Struthio camelus: one gene and its partner. The protein of the gene in region 2 purifies or fractionates together with the protein of the main gene of each other region. This does not show direct contact. Links are inferred from orthologs where the notes say so. Each region holds a gene or a part of one and is shown on either strand. Other genes may lie near its edges.

What was found.
Region 1: the proteins of ZNF687 (region 2) and ZMYND8 purify together in Homo sapiens (affinity purification with mass spectrometry; 4 studies listed by BioGRID and IntAct, with this or other methods). This does not show direct contact. The link is inferred for Struthio camelus from reciprocal best matches to the Homo sapiens genes ZNF687 and ZMYND8.

The regions. Positions count from the first base shown.
Region 1 is NC_090959.1:8,661,657-8,672,071, forward strand, and holds the start of ZMYND8 (MYND-type zinc finger-containing chromatin reader ZMYND8), read right to left. Parts: upstream 3,859-10,415; 5' UTR 3,608-3,858; intron 3,504-3,607; exon of another isoform or gene 3,457-3,503; intron 2,250-3,456; 5' UTR 2,138-2,249; intron 1,492-2,137; 5' UTR 1,336-1,491; intron 1-1,335. Other genes in the region: translocating chain-associated membrane protein 1-like 1, read left to right, coding at 4,668-4,787. UniProt on the Homo sapiens protein: Chromatin reader that recognizes dual histone modifications such as histone H3.1 dimethylated at 'Lys-36' and histone H4 acetylated at 'Lys-16' (H3.1K36me2-H4K16ac) and histone H3 methylated at 'Lys-4' and histone H4 acetylated at 'Lys-14' (H3K4me1-H3K14ac).
Region 2 is NC_090971.1:76,220-85,712, forward strand, and holds the start of ZNF687 (zinc finger protein 687), read left to right. Parts: upstream 1-5,031; 5' UTR 5,032-5,132; intron 5,133-5,191; exon of another isoform or gene 5,192-5,327; intron 5,328-9,493. Other genes in the region: putative PIP5K1A and PSMD4-like protein, read left to right, coding at 35-121, 1,370-1,438, 2,077-2,292, 2,387-2,495, 3,060-3,191, 3,475-3,542, 3,798-3,965. UniProt on the Homo sapiens protein: May be involved in transcriptional regulation.

The sequences.
Region 1 (10,415 bases), on a different chromosome or scaffold from region 2:
ACTGAGAAGCATTTTTACTCAATGACTAAATCTTGAATTTTAATTTTTACAGAGTCTGCTTCGTAGTGCCTTATGAAAAGGAAAGAAAAGCAAGCAATACCATGCAGAAACATATCAATCATACATCCAGTTCAGAGTCCTGACTCTGCAATAACGACTGGATCGTATACTTCAGAGAAAGGGCCAAAACTCTATTTCCCGTTGTGAGAAGTTATACTGTAATAGAAAAACTCCCTTCTGAGCCCAGCTAATTCTTTAATTCTCAAATGGACAAAGATTGTTAGGCTCCTGTAATTTTCATTTCAGCTACTATTGTTTAACTAGAACAGTTTTTATTTTAACTAGAACTATTTTTATTTTGTTGCTGTGGCATTTTATTTTTCTTGCTATTAATTGCCAAATGTTTAAAATAAGCCTGTCCCACTCAAGTGTTTTCCTTTAGGCAAAGGATAGAGAAAACATCAGACATGCATGTCTTCTACTTCCTCATATCTTGTATCTGCCATATCCTTCTCAAACTAAGGTAGGACCTTTCCTGCCACATACGCTGGAATTCCACTAGCTTTAGGAAGATTCTCTCCAGGCAGAAAGTTTGGTGTAAAGAGAATATTTTACAAAAATATGGCCTAGAAATCCTGATCCTTTTGTACTTTGCCTTGTAAATCCTGTGTATTAAGAACAGACAGAGAGCAAAACAGGCTCAAACAGATCAACCCCCTACCCTCAAATATTCCTGGGCCCAGAACAAGTCAAGGGAGATCACCCTCATTTCAGTCACACTCAAATGATGCTTCCTCTCCTCCTGCCATATAACTACAGCTGAAGACTGCAGAAGGAAATCACCCATAGGAGGAGCAGCAGTAAAAGCAGGGATATGACAGTCCAACATTTGCAGACAGGCTTGCCTAAGACTGTTTTTCCCTTGGTGGTTTGCTCCAGTCCTTCTTTCCTAATGCTTTACCATGTGTGTCTGTGGCCCTCTTCTGTTTTCCCCAGCTTGTCTTTTCCTATGTAATCTCTCTCCTCCCCAGAAAGTCCCAGAAGAACAAAATTAACGTGTTTTGGTGCCAGTGGACTATTTACTGCTTACGAGGCATGGTTCTTCCCCATAGTGAATCTAGCTTGTCTATTTAGATCCTAAATTCTGCTAGATGCGGTCTCTACGCTACTCAGTGTTTATACGGTGCCTAATACAAAAAAAGCCAACAACAAAATACCCCCCCTCCATGTTGGCTGGCCCTTTAACACCCCCCCCCCCACACACACACACAAAAGGAAATCATGCAACCAGTTTGAATGTATTTGCCTAGTGATTTTTAAATTGGGTTTACTTACCCCACGAAAATGACTAGTGCTTTCTTCTTCCCTGAATTTACTCCAATTCTGAATTAACTCATCTTATTTAACTGAAGCATAAAATAAAGGAGTCAGGTTGGTCATTCTTAGCTACTTCAGCATGGTCAAGCAGGTCTCTGGTTGATTTCTACAGCTCTGCAAATAGCATTAATAAGTGTAATGATACAACTACAGAAAAGTTTAAACTGCAGGTTAAGCTTTTTTGTTTCATTTATTTAACAGAGAAAATATCTATGAAAACAAGTAAAAAAGGAAACAACAGCTTTCTTGGCTAAGTTAATTTGTTTAAAGGAGAGGACAATGGAAATGACCCACTAGGAGCCAAAAAAAACTGAAGCAACCTTCAAATTAATTAATGAACTACCAGTACTCATTAATGTATTCTAGAAGAACCTACTCTGCTCTACCAGAAAAAGGGATGAGGGGGAAAGGCTGTTGCCATGACAGTGACATAATTTAGAAATACTGATGAGAAGATGCCCATGTATAACGCAGAAGTTGTGGAATCAAAGAGGTAAAATACTTGAGACTTTAAACCTGGAACTTAGAGCTTAAATAATATAGATACAGAATTATGAACCAGGCAGGAAAGTAGATAACCAACAAGTAAGTGGGTTGTCTTTTGGCAGGCCCACCCAGTTTTGTCAGTTTTCAAATCGTAAATATAACTTCTGAAAAGACACCTGAGAAAAGTAAGTAAATGTAAGCAACAGAAGTATGGCATTTCACTGACCTCTTTATATGTATTTATATAGTGCGTTAAACAATAGAGTTTACTTACTTGCCAAAGACAGAGCTCAGCAATCTCAAGTCTTCTTCAAGACGCGCATCATACACACATTGGAACGAAAGGGTCATTTCACTTCATTACCTTAACATGATGTTGCCCTCAACTGCCAGAGGAGAAAAACAGAACTTGAACAGAGGGTTCCACAGGGTTCTAACAGGTGAAAAGGTGGTCTGAGACTTCACTTGAGCGCCTTTTTTTTTCCTCTTGCCTCCCAGACACAATGTTTTTAACTCCAAAGTAGGTTCAAGACTTTTGTCAATTCAAATAATCAGTTTAGACAACTGTTAGCTCCTCTTGTGCACAGAGTATATCTATATTAGAAACTTAAGTTAGTAAATGTACAAAGGCAGAAGTCAGTAGATATCTCTAGGAGCAGGTACTTGAACTCAAATACTCGTTTAATATTACTGTAAATTATCATATCTGACTGCCTCATTGTATCTCATTGTCTAAATCAGTTTTATACCTAGCAAATATGCCTCAAGATTCATTTTTCTGAAAAAATATTACTAGATTAATTACAAATCTTACTTAGGTCATGTATTAAAATTGAGTTTCTTGTAAGAAAACATGCATCGATGCAAGTGGGGAATCGGTAATAAAAGTTATCTGCTCCTAAATTTCTTTAGTTTTGTTTCAAAATAAAAAGTCAAACAACATTGCTTGTTTGGAACTTGAGCAAATATATGAGAGCTGAAGTTTATGCTGAGACTATCTACAAAGCTATAAACATAGAACGTAAAAATATAAAAATCCAAATAAAATGAATAAAAAAATCCATAAAAATATAGAGCCCTATAGCTTTTTTCTTCTAGAAAGTCATGTTCCCAGTTCATAAAAATACAGACTAGCTTGCTCACCGATATGGGACAAAAACGGTGCAAATTATATTAAAGGGGTATATTCTGGGTTGCAAAACCACATTCCAGGCTTGTGTTTCTTGGTACTGCAAATTCCCATTTCTATTTGGCATTATTTGCCCCTATCTCTAATATGTTTCCAGAAGAAGGGAAAAAAATTTTGAATCATAGTTACAATTTCAATTGGGGATACTCTTTTTAGCTTAAGAAAAAAGAAAAATAGTAATTATAATAAACAATTAAGTCTTGCTATTTTATCATTTCCTTTTCATCAAGAAACCAATAATGGTTTGTAAATGATTTACTGCAAGTATTTTTATTTAAGAATCCCTCTTTTTGGCTGAGGTAAAGCATATGCATGGCCGTTGCCTCACCAAACGTCCGTATTGTACAAGCGCTCTGTAGCAATGCTTAAATTCACACATAAAATGCAGCTTCTGAATACGTTACCTTGAAACTCAAAATGAGGGTAGAAACAGGAGCATGAGTATTGTCAAACTGACTAACTAGGAGAAAGCATAACAGAAAGGAAATTCTGTGGCACATAGAAACCGCTTCAGTGAGCCTAAAACATTTAAAAATCAACAGGTAGCAAAACTACCTTCAAAACGGAACTGATTTTTTGGTCCTATTTAGCAGCTGGCTCCAGATGAATCATCCCTTCACTGGAATCAGCAGACGCTATGCTCCCCACAGCAGGGGAGGCATCTGCGTGCAAGATGGAAGCGAAGTTCTTTTTTCCCCTTTCAACCTTCTCCTCTGTGATGCCATCACCCCCTCCGGCCTTCCCCTGCCTCGGTCACAGTTTTGGTCAACCGGTCTGCTTTCCCCCTTGAATTCCAGCTAGAGCCTGCAGGTGGCCAAATCCTCACATCTCTAGGGCCTCAAAGCACCTTTTAGCCCCTCCCCCTCCATTTCAATGGAAATTATAAAAAAGGAGGGTAAGGTGGGGATTTCCCAACAGCTTTTCCGTTTTTGCCTAGCGGTGGTGAGCGACCACTGCCCGCTCGGAGGCGGAGAGCGGGGCGAGGAGCCGCTAGCCGGCTCTGAGGGCGGCGCCCGCCACCTGCGCAGGCGGCGCTCCTCGGGCCTGTGAGGGGAGCTGGCCGCCCGACCTGTCTCGCTCCCCGCGGGCCCTGCGGCGGCAAAGCCGCCCTGTCGTCCCCGGGGCTGTGGCGAGCCCAGCCCCGCCCCACGGAGACCGGCTCGAGCCGGGCCAAACCGGACTTGCCCGCTCCCCACAGCCGCCGCCACCTGCAGAGACGGCGAAGGCGCGCCCCGAACGCCAGCTGAGCCAAGCCCCGCCCACCGACCACTATCTGTGGGGGGGGCCTCCTGAGCAAGCCCCACCCATCCGCACATGGGACTGGATGAATCCCGCGTCACTCATGTCGGACCCCCGACTCCAGTCGTGAGTGCCCGACTGCCGCTGAAGTACCGCCCCCCTGGAAACCGCTCCTCCCGGCCGCCTCGCGACTGGCTGCTAGGGCTGCTAGTTAGAGGTCGTCTTCAGCTTGATTGGCTGGCCAAGGGTGGGAGGCGGGCCCTGGGAGCAGCGGCGTTTACTGGGCGGGAGGTGAAAGTGGCTGCCGCGGGGCGGGGGTGGGGAGGTGCTGCTCCCCTCGGCGGGGCCGCCGGGGCCCTGGGCGCCGTCCACCGCCATGGGGCTCCGCCGGAAAGCCAGGAGCCCGGCAATGCTGAGCCACGAGTTCGTCATCCAGAACCATGCAGACGCCGTGTCCTGCCTGGCGGTGGGCCTCCTGCTGGGGCTAATGTTCGAGGTACCGGAGCAGGGTGAGGGGCCCGGTGGGCGCCGAGCCGCGCAGGGACGCGAGGCGACAGCGCGGCGCTCCGGCTTACCTCCGCGGAGCTCCGCCCCGTACATCCCCGCCGTTCGCCTCCGCGCCGCCGCTGCGCAGCTCTGCCCTCTCCCCTCTTCCCTGCCGGGCTGTGCCCCGGTGCCTCTTTGCCCGGAGGCCTGTTGGCTGCCTGGCACCCTGCCCGCGCCCCCCTCCGCGTCTCGACAGGAGCTTCGGCTTTGCTCGCTCCCGCTTTGCTGCTCGCTCTTCGTTTGTTTGGTTTTCTTTTTTTTTCGTCCAGCTTTCCTTCATCTCTGCATCTGTTGCACGCCTCGCAGCCTCCCGTAAATTCCCTTTTACTCAGTTCCGTTCCCTTGAATAAAAAAGCTCCTGAGACCCCTTTGCTTAGAGCAAATTCGTGTGTCTCTTGGTCGTGTGTGAGAGTTATTTACTTTTTTTTTTTTTTTCCCCCTGTTCAGACGTCCACGTGGTGAAGCATGTAGGAGCACTGTTGCAAAGAGGGCTTCAGGCAGCCACTGATGTTTTAAGCAGGCTTAAACCAAATGGTAGCTAAAAACTGCTTAGGCGCCCTTTGCACCGCTGCTCCCTCTGTTGCTGAGTCAGCTCGGTAGTGACGGATGACCTGAAGAAAAACGCAAGATTTCACAATCTCAGACTAGTTTCTGAATTTCTCTTTCCCTTTGCATTTGAAAGTTACCGTACAGTTTATTTCTATATGCAAGCAGCTTATTAGTTTCTTGGGTTGTGGCTGTTCTCTTTTAGACATCTTTTCCCTACCTTTGGGACAAAACTGTTGTGTGTTGCCGTGTGAGTCTATTAGGCTGGTGTCGAGTGTGTGGTAGGGCTTTGTAAATTAATAGATAACTTAAATACTTTCCTGAAACATTTTAACATCAGTTGGCTGAGATGTAAAATCAGGTTATTTTAAAAATGCAAATGCTTTTAGATTCTCAGAGAAGATACTTCCCTGCAGATGTCTTTTTTATTTTTATCTTGACCCACTTCTGAAACTGTTAAGGATACTGTGCAGGAATAGAGTGGAGAAAGGAGTCAGCAACAGTCAGACAATTTCCTTCTAAATGTTGGACAAATCCAGTGTTGATGTGTAATAAATTATGTCTATGATATGAAAGTTAATATGTGAAATGCAGAACTGATTTAAAAAAAAAATAACTAGGCCCTTGGGAGCTGAGGTGAAAAAGGCTTTTTAGTTAGCTTTTAAGGAGGAGAGTAAATGCTTGCACCTGGGATAAAACATTCATTTTAGGATTCATTCGCATATGTAGAACTTCTTATGTATCTTGTATATGTTACTTTTTAATGAGGTTGCCTTGTGTGTCTTTGCTGTTCTAAAAAAAAAAAAAGTGTGTTTTCTGGAATTCAGTCTCTAAATTCCATTTGTCTTAGCTCAGACTTTGTATGAACACAGGAGTTGTGCTTCTGTAAGTAGCTGGTAAGTCTACTGGTATTTGGAGGTACTGTGCAGCTCCCCCAGCGTATTTTTGCTCTGGTGGTGAAGCTTACCTCTTTTATAGGAAGAAGAGTAAGCCAATATTAGTTAAACCCAAGCATAATTAGCAGAATATCTCATTTCTACTCAGAATAAATCTGAAAGTTTAAAATTTTGCAGACTAGATTCCAGTGTAGCTTTTGATTATTTTCTTTTTATTGTGTTTGTTTGACTAGACTTGTGTGCTTTTTATAGTATAACTTAAACGTTCTGCATGTCCGTTTTTGATGCAAAAATTATCTGTAGATTGGGACAGCATTCACTTCTTATGCAGAGGAACGATGGTTCTATGTAACAGGTGATAAACGGTTTTGTTGCCATAAGTATAATATTAAAAAAATAAATTCTGTACAGCCTTTCATTCTATTGACAAATTTTTTTTGGTGCTAGACCTCTGTCTCATTCACCGCAGAAAAGCACACAGTAGTTACTGAATGAAACCTATATTTCATTGTTCACCATGTAGGCTTTGTACCATATTTATTATGTGTAATACAAACTCTGACAACCAAACAAAACTACTGATGTTTTTGAGTATTTTTTGTGACGTTTATCAAGACACTATGTTGAGTGCTTCATAAGTGTTACTGAACATGCCTACACAGCTGTTATCCCCATTGCCTTCTGGTCTTGATTTCCTCTCTATATTAAAGTGAAATTATTTTTAGGTTTTGAGTTTTGGGGCACTGAATGACTACTATTTTTTTTTTTTTTAAATCAATGTTTTTCAGAGCATTTTGTGCTTGCTGTGATTTCAGCTGCAGCTGTCAGTGGCAGGTTTCCAGATCCAACTTGTGGTACCTTAGATTGTACACTTACGAACTAAAGAATGTACAAATGAAACTTTTTACAGCTGACTACCTCTTTAATGATTTACTCAGGGCTGTGTAGTGACATCAGAGTAAATACAGGTTTTCTTTTCTAGGTGGCATTCAATTGCCTATATCCATGAGGCCATCCAAAAAACAATAGGTATGTTAGAGTTAGAAATTAGCGTTAGTATGTAATAAATTAAATTATAAGAATTTCTTTAAAGGAAATTCTTATGCATGGTTGTTTTTCCACCTTAATTGTGCTTTTTTATACCTTAACTTTGCTAATTATTATGAAGTCTTTAGAAGTTTGTAATGAGATCCACTCTGATTATAACATACTGAGAAGGGGCTGTTAAATTTAGTACATAACTGCTATTTTCTTTCTTCTTCCTTCCCTGAGAATCTTTATACAGCAGCCTTTGTGTGTCTAGTCCCAGCGCTTTTCTTGATGAGAGAGTGGACTTTGTCTTTGAAAGAAACTGCACTTTCATTGTGCACGGTTCTTTTTAAGCCACTAGTGCAATCTCAGAAAAATTTCGTGTGACGTCCTTCTAAAACAATTTCCGTTGTTGCTTGCGTTCTGTGGTAGGGTGGCCACAGATACCGCTTAATGGAGCTCCCGTACTTCCAGCAGAGTGGAACATTTGTGGTATGTTATCGGCTTAACAGACAACCAGAAAAAGTAATAGCTAATGTGATGGGCTTTAGCAAGGTTACCTGCCACCTTCTTCTCCCAAAGTGCGTGAAAAGTAGCTTATCCTCACAAAAGCTACTGTCCTAATATATCTTCAGGAGATAATTGAGTATGATTTCAGTCCCCTTTCAGAATGAAAGGAGGCTGCCGTGAACTCAGAGAGCAACACTTTTTTTTTTTTCTTTTCTTCCAGAAAGAATATTTTTCTCCAGACTTTGAAGGGCAGCCCTGTGGTTACAAACCATAAATTGAAAAATTGCCTTTCACTGCCTTTTAGCTGGACCATAACTTCAGGTATCTTTGTGGCTGTCTATAAATCTAACAGTTAGTGCAGTGCAGTGAGCCTGTATTGTAAAAGCAAACTGTGTCATTCTTCTAGACTAACTTGCTTGCAAGTTTTTAAGAATTCTTCCTGTACTTAAGGAATTTTGTTAATTAAGTAATGATGTAGAGGGTATTCTGTATACTTTGTTAAAGTACAGACCTCAAGGTTATGGAGTTGTGACCAATACTTTTGTTTAACTTACAGATTTTTCCTTCTGTTGTCTTTGCGATTTGAGCTGTTCTGCATTTTGTAACGAGGCTTCTCTCGGAGCCTGCAGTCATTCTCTCGCTCCAAAAACAGCACAGTGAGGGCAGAATTGTTGACCACTTCGGTATTGCTAAGGCTGTCAGGAAGCTCTCTTTTGACATGGGCAGTGACAGGGAAGAGGCATGTCCCCTAATAAAGGGGTCTGCAGGACGTACCATGGTGCTGTCTGAATGCTGTGCCACAAAGGAGCCTGTTGCTGTGGGTCCTGAGTCGTAACTGACTGAAAGCAAGCATCGTTGTTTTAGCAAGATGCTGATGGCATCAATACCTACGTAACTATATTTTCTCTGTCTGCTAGAAGCAAACAGTTGTCAGTGAATTCTTTGCACTTTCGCTGAATGAGTGTTTTAAGTTGTTTTTGCTGCTTTGGCTGCTTGTTCTTCCCCTCAAGCAGACACAAGACTTTGTGTAGCTGACCAGTGCAGCAGGTTAGGAAACTCATCTGTGTTAAAATTAATAGTTTTTCCTCCCTCTTGTTTTGCCGAGTCAGTTTTAACTTATATAATTCTGCTGTCCAATTTACCGTGCAGCTACTTGTGATGACACGTGCGGTGCAGAGACAATCAACTGGTGGTAAAGAGAAAGGCCAGATTGCTCTTCCTGATGGTAGTGCTGGCTTATGCAAGCTTAGCTTGTTCATGGAACTGCAGTGCAGTCTTACAGTCAATTTTGTATGCCAGAAAAATCACTACTTTTTTTTTTTTTCCTTACTGAGAATTTCTTTCAAAAGTGCTCTTCAATATTATGACTCCTCTGCTGCTTAATTTCACAGGTGCACTCCCAAACCCGTGTACGTAAATGATTTGCCTCCCCCTCCCTTTTTTGTTACAGAGGATGTTCTTCTACCTTGTTGTGCCACTTGCTTACTTTGTAGCTGGGTAAATTTGTGCTGGTTTTATATGTTCCAGTATGTTCTTATTTATATTTTTAGCAGTTAGGTTGTGTAACATGAGGAAAAATAGCTTTCCTTTTTTAGTTTACGTTTCCTTGTAAGTCATCTCTATGAAATCCAGTTTAAGAGAAAATGTAAAAGATACAAGAATTTATTCTCCTTTCTTATGTTAACTTTCAGTTAATGCCTGTTGTCCATCTCTGATTTATGTCCTAGATAACGGAGTGCTTGCCATCATAATAAATGTATTTGCTATTGGCAGTGTAGGATGTAGTTGCATATTGCGTTTTCTGCAGCAATGAAACCGGTTAGTTTTTCCCCTCTACTCACTTCTTTCCATGTGCTTATCAGTCTCTCGGTTAGATGAGCGCAACTGTTTCTGAAGTCATGCAAACCAGATCAGTGAAATGTTTTCAGTTAAACTTAAAAATTATGTTTGCCTCTTATCACTCAGTCATAGGTTCTATAAGCCGTGCTGTAAACCAGATGATAAACAGTTCCATTGCCATAGCTAAAGGCTAAATACACTGCAGCATGGGAGCGGGAAGAAGTTGTCGGGAGATACAGATGACTGAAAACTTTTTAACTAGCTTTGCCACTGGAGAAAAAGTAGCATGAAAGTATGCCATTGCCTACTTAGATTGTACCGTAGTTCTTAGAAAATGTTTGCTTTCTCTGGCTTGATTTATCATACAAGGAAATTCATGGATGGATTTTTTAGTTCTGTTATTCTTTGAATACCCAACTTATTTATGCTCGCTCTTAGCCAATATGTCACTCTTGAGTATCTTGCAAGGTTAGCTGAAACTTTCTGTCTGCATTAATTTAAAGGATCTTTTAGCTTTTGAAATAACTGAAAGACGTTTGCACTTCTAAACACTTAAAAACGTTATTTAGTACAACGGTGAGTAATTGGAGCCTTAGCTAAAGGGATGTAATTCAAGTTCTGACTCTACGCAACAAACGTTAAAGGATTTGCAGCATGACGAGCCTCTGCGGTTGTGGGAGATGAATAGCACTTTCGGGACCCCTTTGATTTAAATCATGTATGGGAGAACGTTTGTTGATGCCATAATCTTCTACTTT
Region 2 (9,493 bases):
GCTCAGTAAGTAGCATATGACTCTTATTTTGTAGCTGGCTTTAAAACATCGTCAAGGCAAGAATCACAAGATGCGAATCATTGCCTTTGTTGGGAGCCCTGTAGAAGATAATGAGAAAGATGTGAGTAATGACAAGTCAAATAAAAATATGTTGGGTCTGTTCCTCACCCTGCTTGAATGCCTTGAACTGTAAATCAGCTTCTTTGAATAGTTCCCTGCTCTGTATTAAACATAAAGCTTTATATGCCAGCAAGGAGACCACCTGACAGACGCACTTGCTAGCAGGGCGATTCTGAGTGGGGAGGAAGAGAGAGAGTGAGGAAGGGCTGTTGTAGGCATTGCCAGGGTTCCTGTCTCCGGGGGAACGGACCCAGACTGGGGCTGGGGTCTGGAGTGTGGGAGCTTGAGCCAGGCAGGTGTGAAGGGTATTTCTGTGTTGGAGGGCAAACCTAATGCAGACAGAGGCAGCCCAACCCGTGCAGTTCTTCAGGCATCTCTGCAAAGTATGGAAGAAGGCTGATGCAACGAAACAGCTGGCTTTCTCTGAAGAACCTAGTGCGTTAGCACTGGCTCCTTTCCCAGGGAAACGTGATACACTTGCACTCAGAAGAGAACCATGTTTATCGTTTGATGAAGGGCTCAGGGTCAGCTGAGCATTTAGCCTCTGAGGCAGGCCCAGAGCTGCCAGGCAGAATGGGCACGGTCAGACCTGAGCCAAGGACAGAGATCCAGATCTCTTGCTGTTTCGTGTGGAATCGCTTCCTTTTGCCAGTTCAGGCTGCTCTGTCTATTGAGGAAGCCTGTGTTGTGTCCTGGGCCTCCTGACTTCTTGCTGCCACCTAGATCACTGCGGGCTTTTAGTCTGAGGAGCTAAGGGAAGCTATCTGGATCCCTTAGCAGAAAGCAAACTCTGAACTTTAGGAAGGTGCTATTCTCTTTGCGCTTGAAATAAGGCAAACACAGTTAATCCAGACATTCTGGGTCTCTCTGAAAGAGCAAGTAAAAAACATGTCTGCTTTTAGGGGGGAGATGATGTTCCCTGCTCCAGGCTCTCGCTGGCATTTTCGCAGAAGTGATGGGGACAGTTAATTCCTCTGGCAGCAAGAACTTTCTCACTCGTGCCACCCTGAAGTGACTTAGGCATTGTTTGGTAGTGCCTATCCCATATATGGACTATCTCAAATGTGTTGCTGCTGGGAAATAGCTCTGGAGCTTGTGAGGGCTAGAATCTGGGAAGCTCCAAACTGGGGCTCTGCATCTCAAGGAGTGAATCCTTAGTGCTGTTGTCTGGTTTCTGATGAGCTGAATATATATAAGAACTGAAATCAAAGCCATGGAAGACTAATGCTGCAGTTTCTCCTTATTGCAGCTGGTGAAACTGGCAAAGCGTCTTAAGAAAGAGAAAGTCAACGTTGACATAATCAACTTTGGAGAAGAGGTGAGACTTCTCCCCTGTTCCTTTTAATTCAGATCCAAGCCAGGGTTTTGTATCCTTTCCAGCCTGTAGATCTTGCTTGGGCACATGAGTGAAAAAAAGGAACAGTTCTCTGAACCTCAGTCTCTTTAGCAGCTGTCTCAATAAAAATGCTAATGTCAGGAGTAAGAGACCTCTCCCATTTCACTGCAAGCATTGTTGAATGCTTTTCTCCTTAAAGGAAATACCAGAGCCACTCATGTGCCTTTGAGTGGCGTTTCTGACCCCTCACTCCTTGTCTTGGGATCAGCATCACATGTTGCTCTGCTCTGATCCGGGCACTGTTGGGGGTTTTTGTTCACGGGGAGAAAAGTAGCTTGCAAGAGGATAATACAGCCAAGGCATGGCTTTCCTGCTGGGAGGGCTGCGCAGCCGCCCACTACTGGGCCTCTGTGACAGATGGCAGCCCCCAGGGATGAAGCGTGGCATAACCCCAAGCCGCTTGTACAGCTCTTGGTTACCCTGTACTGTGAGAGCTGTAGAGAGTGAGCCAAGGACTGGGAGGACGTTGGGGTGTGTAGAGCGACCTGCTGCCTGTCCCTCACAGAGCTGATGAGGGAGTCAAATCAGTCTCTAATCCCAGCTTTTCTCTTTGACTGTAGGAAGCCAATACAGACAAGCTCACTGCCTTCATTAACACCTTAAACGGCAAGGATGGGACTGGCTCCCACTTGGTGACAGTGCCTCCGGGGCCGAGCCTAGCCGATGCCCTCATCAGCTCCCCCATTCTGGCTGGGGAGGGCGGTGCCATGCTGGGCCTTGGGGCCAGCGACTTCGAGTTTGGTGTGGATCCGAGCGCAGACCCAGAATTGGCTCTGGTAAGCGATGAGGAGACAGAGGGTGATGGTGAGCATGAGCTTGGGATGTCAGAGCTCTGCCCAGCTCATCTTTGCACTGTCCCTGTCTCCACAGGCCCTGCGGGTCTCCATGGAGGAGCAGAGGCAGCGGCAAGAGGAGGAGGCCAGGAGGGCTGCAGCCGCCTCTGCGGCTGAGGCTGGGATCGCAGCCACTGGTGGGGACGGTAAGGAACTGGACAGGGAATAAGCTTGCTCAAGGCAAGTGTGTAGGGCGAGGCAGCATGCTCCCCAGGGAGCACATCTACACCCAGCCAGTGGGAAGGGGTGCCCGGACTCCTGTAGCTGCGCTCAGAGGTGTGGGGCTGCCCCGACACCGTGGCATGTAGGCTCTGTTCATGGCAGGGCTCTTCTGTGCAATTTTGCTGTTCCCAGAGCCACCACGGTGAAACGTGAGGGGCTTTCTGGCCTGAATCATTGGACTTGCCTCCAATCAGGCTGTTTAGCCTCAGCATTTGATGCAGATCCAGGCCTGGGAGCTACATCCTACTTCTTCTGAAACTCCCCTCTGTTCCCAAATGGAGATAGATCCCCCTGTCTCATGAATGCTGCAGGGAGCTGCTGTGCTCTAGCCCCCTTCCCCATAGCTGTGTGTGTAAATGCACAGCTGCATTTACAACAGTGGAAGCGGTTCTCGTGCTGCTGGTCATGCCATGGGAGTGCCCTTGTCACCTAGCGACTCAGAGCAGCTCTCCTGGCTGGTTCCTGAGTGCGGGGTTTTGTCCGTGCAGATTCAGACGACGCTTTGCTGAAGATGACGATAACTCAGCAGGAGTTTGGCCGAGCTGGGCTGCCTGACCTCAGCAGCATGACGGAGGAGGAACAAATTGCCTACGCCATGCAGATGTCACTGCAGGGAGCGGGTGAGTGGCTGGGTGCCGGCGCTCATCTCATTCTCAGCTGACTTGCCCCAGAACAAGGGTGAAGGGGCAAGTCCTCCATATCTGGGACTAGAACCGCTGTCCCCTACACACTGACATGCCCTGAAGTGGGGAGTTGTCGCCTGGACAGGGCCTGAATCTCCCTGAATGCCTGTGAAGTGTGTACCTGGGCCGCTCAACTGTGACCTCTGTCCTCCACCATGTCCAGACTGGGGCTGCAGGTATGTAAATCCTCTGTTCTGAGCTGTTTCTCTCCTCTCAACAGAGTTTGCCCAGGCAGAGGCGGCAGAAGTGGACAGCAGCACAGCCATGGACACATCTGAACCCGCTAAGGTGATGCTTTGCCATCCTGGTCTGTCTGGAAAGGCCTGACCCAGCATCCCTGAGCCCCTCTCTGCTTGTGCTCAGCCCTGGGGCCAGGTTCCTTGTTATGTGCTGCCTCCATCCCTTCACCCTACAGACTTGCCTTGAGCTTCAGCTTCCTGGGTCACTAGGACCCACCCTTTCCCTGGCAGAGTCTGTCCTGCTGAGGGGCACATCCATGACCACATCCCAGCCCATCCCTGACTCCTCTCTCTCTCCCTGCAGGAGGAAGATGACTACGATGTGATGCAGGACCCCGAGTTCCTGCAGAGCGTGCTGGAGAACCTGCCTGGCGTGGACCCCAACAACGAGGCCATCCGCAACGCCATGGGCTCCCTGGCCTCACAGGCCTCCAAGGAGAGCAAGGACAAAAAGGAGGAGGAGAAAAAGTGACAGCGCTGGGGCTGGGTCTCGCTGATGGGCGGGCAGTGAGTCGGTCACACACTTCATCGCTTCAGCGTAGCCATTGCCCCTGGGGCAAGCGTGGAGGAGCCCCAAGCGTGTGAGGGGACAGGGTAGGTCTGGGTTTTCTTGATGTAACAGGTTAATAAAAGCATTTAAAGTTGCTGTCGCTCCCTTTTGGGCCAGCTGGGGGAAGGGGCTCCCCAGTTGTCCCCAGTGCTGGGGGAACTAGGCCCTGGGGCCCCACCTCCCTTAAGGCCTCGGTGCCAAGCCCCGCCCCTTGCACCACCTCCCGGCATGCCCTGCTCCAGCCCTCGCCAGCGCTGAGGGACTGTTTACACAGCCCTAGGGGCGGCATGAGCCGTTGATGAGCAGTGGAGTCAGCCAATCAGTGGGGTTTGCAGGTGGATGTTGTTGCTCATGGGGCTCTGGGTGCGGCCAATGGGGGATTGAGGTGGGGGGGAGGGTGGGATGAGGTGGACTTTTTTATTGAGTGGCGGCCATGCAGCTCCATGAGAGGCAGGGCTTCATTGTGAGCGGCAGGGGGAACAGCCAGTTGGAAAATTGAGAGGGAGGAGCACGTGTGCATGACAGGGCTCTATGCTAGTGGGGCTGGGCCCTGTCGTTCCCTGCCAGCCTACGGGTGGGTGGGGGGGCAGTCAGCCCCCGTCCCTGAGTGACAGCATCCCTGGCAAATAGGAGATGGGGGTCAGCCCTCCTCTGAGAGCCTTCAACCAATTGGACCGGTCGATGGGCGGGCCCTCATGTTGATCGACGAACCTCTCGGTCAATAGAGATGCAATAGCAGGGAGACGCCCAGTCGGCCACGGCTCATGACCAATAGCTGCGAGAATCGCTACTTGAAGGACAGCCTCCTTTAGCCAATGGGGAGCTGCATCGGGAGGGCTGGCGTGATGAGCCCAGCAGTCAGCCAATAAACAGCGAGGCTGCCCTGTGGGTGTGGCATCGCCAGCGGCCAATGGGAAATGCGGTAGCCGAAGTGGGCGGAGACCAGCCTTTGAATGGCATCTCCATCCCCCAATGAGCACACGCCACGGGAGGCGGGCCCCAGCCGCGGAGTAGTCGCCCGCTACCCCAATGGCGAGTGCGAGAAGCCGAGGCCGCCTGAGAGCGACGGCCACGACGGCAAATGGGAAGGCACGTGGCGGCGAGTGACGGGCGGCTCCGCCAACGGCGCGGCGCGGGTGGGGGCGGGCGTGCGGCGCGCGAGCGGCCGCCGGCGGAGGGAAGGGGGCGCGAGCGAAGCAGGAAGTGGTTGAGGCGAAGCGGTCGCCGCGGAGGGGCCTGGGGCGGGAGCCACACGCCTCCCCCGACCCCCGCTTGAAGCAGCAGGTACCGCCGCCGCCGGGCCCGGTCTGAGGGGCCCCCGGCCCGGGGGGGGACCGCGAAGAAGGGCCAAGGGGCGCCCGGGCCTATGGGGGGGCGGGACGGGCCACCCCAGTCTGAGCGGGGCTGGGCGCGGGTCCCCCAAAATCCTGGGGTTTGGGGGGGTCCGTTACCTCCCCCGAGATCTTGGGGGGAGGTGGGGGACATCCACTTCTCCCTCTCCCGGGCTGGAGAGTTCATCCCCTCCCGAGGGGGTTGGGCTTAGGCATCCCTGTCCCCCAGGATTGGGGGGTAATGGTCACCTCCCTTCAGAATTTGGAGGTAACAGTCACACTTCCTCCCTTGGGGTGTGTTGGGGGGGGGTAACGGTCCTCCCCTTCCCCCTCGGGGTTTGGGGGGATAACGGTCATCCTCCTAGCATTATGGAGGGATAGCGCTCATGCCCTTTCCCTCCTCGGGATTTGTGGAGTGGGTGGAGGTTATCCTCTGCCACTCCTTGTTTTTTGGGTGGGGGATATAAATGGTCATGTGCCCCTGTATTTCCTGGGGGCCTGGTCACACACCTTCCCCCAGCCTTGGGGCTTTTGGGGAGCTGATTTTGGCTCCCCTCCCCCCTATCTCTTGTAGCCTGGCCATGTTCCCCCAGCCCTGGTGATGGGGGCACTTGTCCATTCCCCCTTGCAGCTCTTGGGGACTCCTTGGAAATGGGAGGGGAGCTGGCCATGGTCCCCTGTACTTCCTGGGGGGGGGGGGGGGGAGGATCTCATCCTGTTCCTACCCTACTCCAGTTTGGGATATTGGGGCGTTTGGTCGTGTTCCAACCCCCCCCCCCCCAGCTCCTGGGAGAGCATAGTCCTGCCTCTCCTTCTCCGCTCTGGGACTTGAGGTGTTGTCACACCCTACCAGAGCTCTGGGGGCATGCTGGTCTTGGCCTTCTTCCCTCCTGCCCTGGGGGCTGAGTGGGGGGAGCCTTTCCCCACTGGCATGTGGTTCTGTGAGGGGCTGGCTGTGGGCTCCCCCAGCTCTTCAGGTGTAATACTCACCTCGCATCTCTTTTGGGAGGAGCACGTGCCCAAAAGAGGGGTGGCATTGTGCTCTCCTGCTCCTGGCTGCTTACAGATGGGATCCTTCACCTCCAGCTCCAGGAGGAGCTTTCATCTCCCCACCTCCCATGTGTCAGCGATGGTTAAAGCATGCACCTCCTCCATGTGGAGAGAAGCATCACTTTGTCCTCCCAGGTGGATTTGGTGGATAAGGGGATGGGTCCTGACCTCACCCAGTGCATGTGGCAGAAAGGACCTTACAAATAAGGTGGCGTCTTGGTTTGGAGCCCCATTTCCTGGGAGGGGTTCTTGCTCCTCCAGTTTCTGAGGAGCGGCCATGTGAATAAGAGGCTGGTCCAGTTTTGAACCATGCAGAGCCACTCTGGTTTCTCTAGGTACCTGTGCCTGAAGATGGCAGTTGAGAATGAGATGTGTGGGTCTCTTATCACACCTCCAATGTCCTGGAAGGATGGTGCTGTGCCTCCCTTATTGTGTAGGTTTTAGGGAGGAAGGATCTTGCTATTATCCTGGTTTTAGTTTTGGAGAGAATAAGGAAGGCTTGGGGAGGATCTTGTTGTAGTCTTCATAATGGCAACACATGTGTTTTAGGAAGAAAGAGGAGGGCAGGAGGGCCTGTGCTAGCTATCTCCCTACCTTGGGATGGTTGGGAGGATTTGGGCTCACAGGCCAGCCCTCTAGGAGGGCTTGGCGTGGATCCAGATGCAAGAAAGGGAGGGCAATGAGCTGGGAGAAGGCTTATAGAGAGGTGGGCATTGTGTCTCCATCCACCCTGACTTCCAGCAGGGGATAACTGGGAGCAGTGAAGTCTCCCAGGAGCTTCTGGCTGCCACTTTGCAGACACTTGAGGTGCTCTATGAGGTTCGGGGGAGGCTGTGCAGGTTTGGGGGCTGCTTTGGGACTGTGGGCAGTGAGGTGACCCTGCCCTGGGAGCTCCTTCCTGAAGGCCTGGGGAGGAGGAGGAGAAAGCAGAGGAGTCACAGGCCAGGGGGATGGACTTCCGTTGCAGAGAAGTCAAGCATTTTGGTGTGGCCGTTTCTTGTGGGTATTGGCCACTTCCTTAAGGGCCTCTTGTTTTTTTGTTTGTGAGAGTGAGGTTCAATTGGTAGTAACTGTTGTTTTCTCTCAAACCCAGTTTCTCCCTTTTCCTTCCTCCTCCCCTTTCTTGATCTCTGCCCCAAAAAGTCCCTTAATTCCTTGCTGCTGATCTGTCTGCGTGTAATCGTGTAACAGGCAGTCCTTGGGTGCTGTGATTATCTCCCCACAGTGAGTTTTATTCAAAGCAAGAAACTTTCTTTAAAAAGTGAGCAGAGAAAGTTTGATAGCCTTGACCTTTAAGTGTGTTTGATTTAAGCAGTTCATTTAGGAATTGAGACTTGTTACGGCCCTGATTTCTCTGCAGAGACCAATTTAAATCAATGGGACCTTGCAGAAATGTGAGAAGTGGGTTGTTGGAGATGTGATGTGAGCGTGGAGGTATTTCGGAAACTCCTCTGATGACCAGGAAGATCCTCCTGGTGTTGAGAGCGGTAGTAGTAACAATGCCTGAGATGCTCAACGTCTTGCAGGAATCAAGTCTGTCTATAATTTTCTGGGTTTATTCCCCTCTGATTAAGTTCTTCTAGGTCATCTATTCTAATCTGTACTTCTGCTAATGTGGGATTGCCCCCTACAACAAGTTTTGTAGAGCTTTAATTTATTTGTGCCATAAAACACCTAAGCACGCATCTGGGTGCTATAAAAATAATAATGTACTAAGAGCAAGCAAACACAGTGATGGCACGGGGCTGTTGTAGCGTGTGATGAGAGCGAGCGAACTCTATGTTCCCTTCCTTTTGGCATCCTGCATGGCAGATTTTCTAATTATACTGCTAGAATAAATGGGGTGTCCTGGCTGAGTTTGGAAACTTAATCCTGTAAAACTCGGTATGATGAAATAGCATGAATCGCATCACAATGGAGATAACTCTATTTCTGTTCTCTGACAATCTCAGAGCACTCAGTCTGTCTTGGGGATGGCTTAGCTGGAAATTACTAATAGCGTGCACTACCTGCGAGATCTCTAAGCGCTTCCACCAAGCAGGCAGGTCTTTCCCGTGACTTAGCACTGGAGGAAGGACGAGCCCAGCAGGCTATGTCTGAAGCGAGACAAGGATGCTCCGAAGGCTGGGCAGTGCTGCCAGAGATCATAATGGGGGTTGTTACTTGCTCTAGGTCCCAAATATCCTTATGACCTTGGGAAAAGCATCAGGTTAGGAGTCAGCTAGTTTGGGGACATGGATATCCTGGGTGAATCTCTGCCCCTTTTGCGCCTCTGTTCCCACCTGTGGACCTTTGGGGGCTGTCTTTTCTCTTCTCTGTGTTTTAGAAAATGGCAGTGTTCATTTGAGGAAGCTCGTGGTGCTTGCGTTGTTCTTCGCTGTTCTTGGTGTTGTCGGGGTAGGGTATTTATGCTGCAAGTGGAAGGAGGCTAAGCTGTGTTTCCTTTCCCCACCTGGAGCTTGCCCCTTCTCTGCCCTGAATGTGTACACCACCACTCTTGGCCTTCTCCAGCTCTGCCAGGCTAAATCGCAACGAGTGTGTGTGTGACTTGCCACTAGGGTAAACCATCTTGAGTATGTTATAACTGAGCAGCCTGTCTGATGCGGGAACCTGGCACTCTGCAGCCACGTAGACATCTGCGCTAGGAACATCTGTGCTTACCTGTGGACAGGACCTTGTCCTGCATCACCTTGGGGAAAGTTGCTCCTACCCTCCAGCCTGTAGCTTTGAATCGTGACGTGAAAATGAGCCTAGGTGAGGTGGGCGTCGTTTGGCAGAACACTTGGGGAGAGCTTGGTGATTCTCCCATGAAACGTCCATGCTGAACCAAGGAAGCCCTTGTCTACTGTGGATCCAGTTCACAGTGCTTAATCTGGGAACAAAAACTGTGTTACACAGTAACATGCACAGTAATGTTCAGCCCTGGAGGAATTTTGGGCACCTCACACTGGATGTTAGCGCAGAGCCTGGGACTCATCCCCCTTCCGCCACCTCCCCATGTTGACGCTGAGGCTACTTTCTGCTGATCAGCTCTACAAGAATGCCTGCCAGTGTTTAAAAACTTAATTT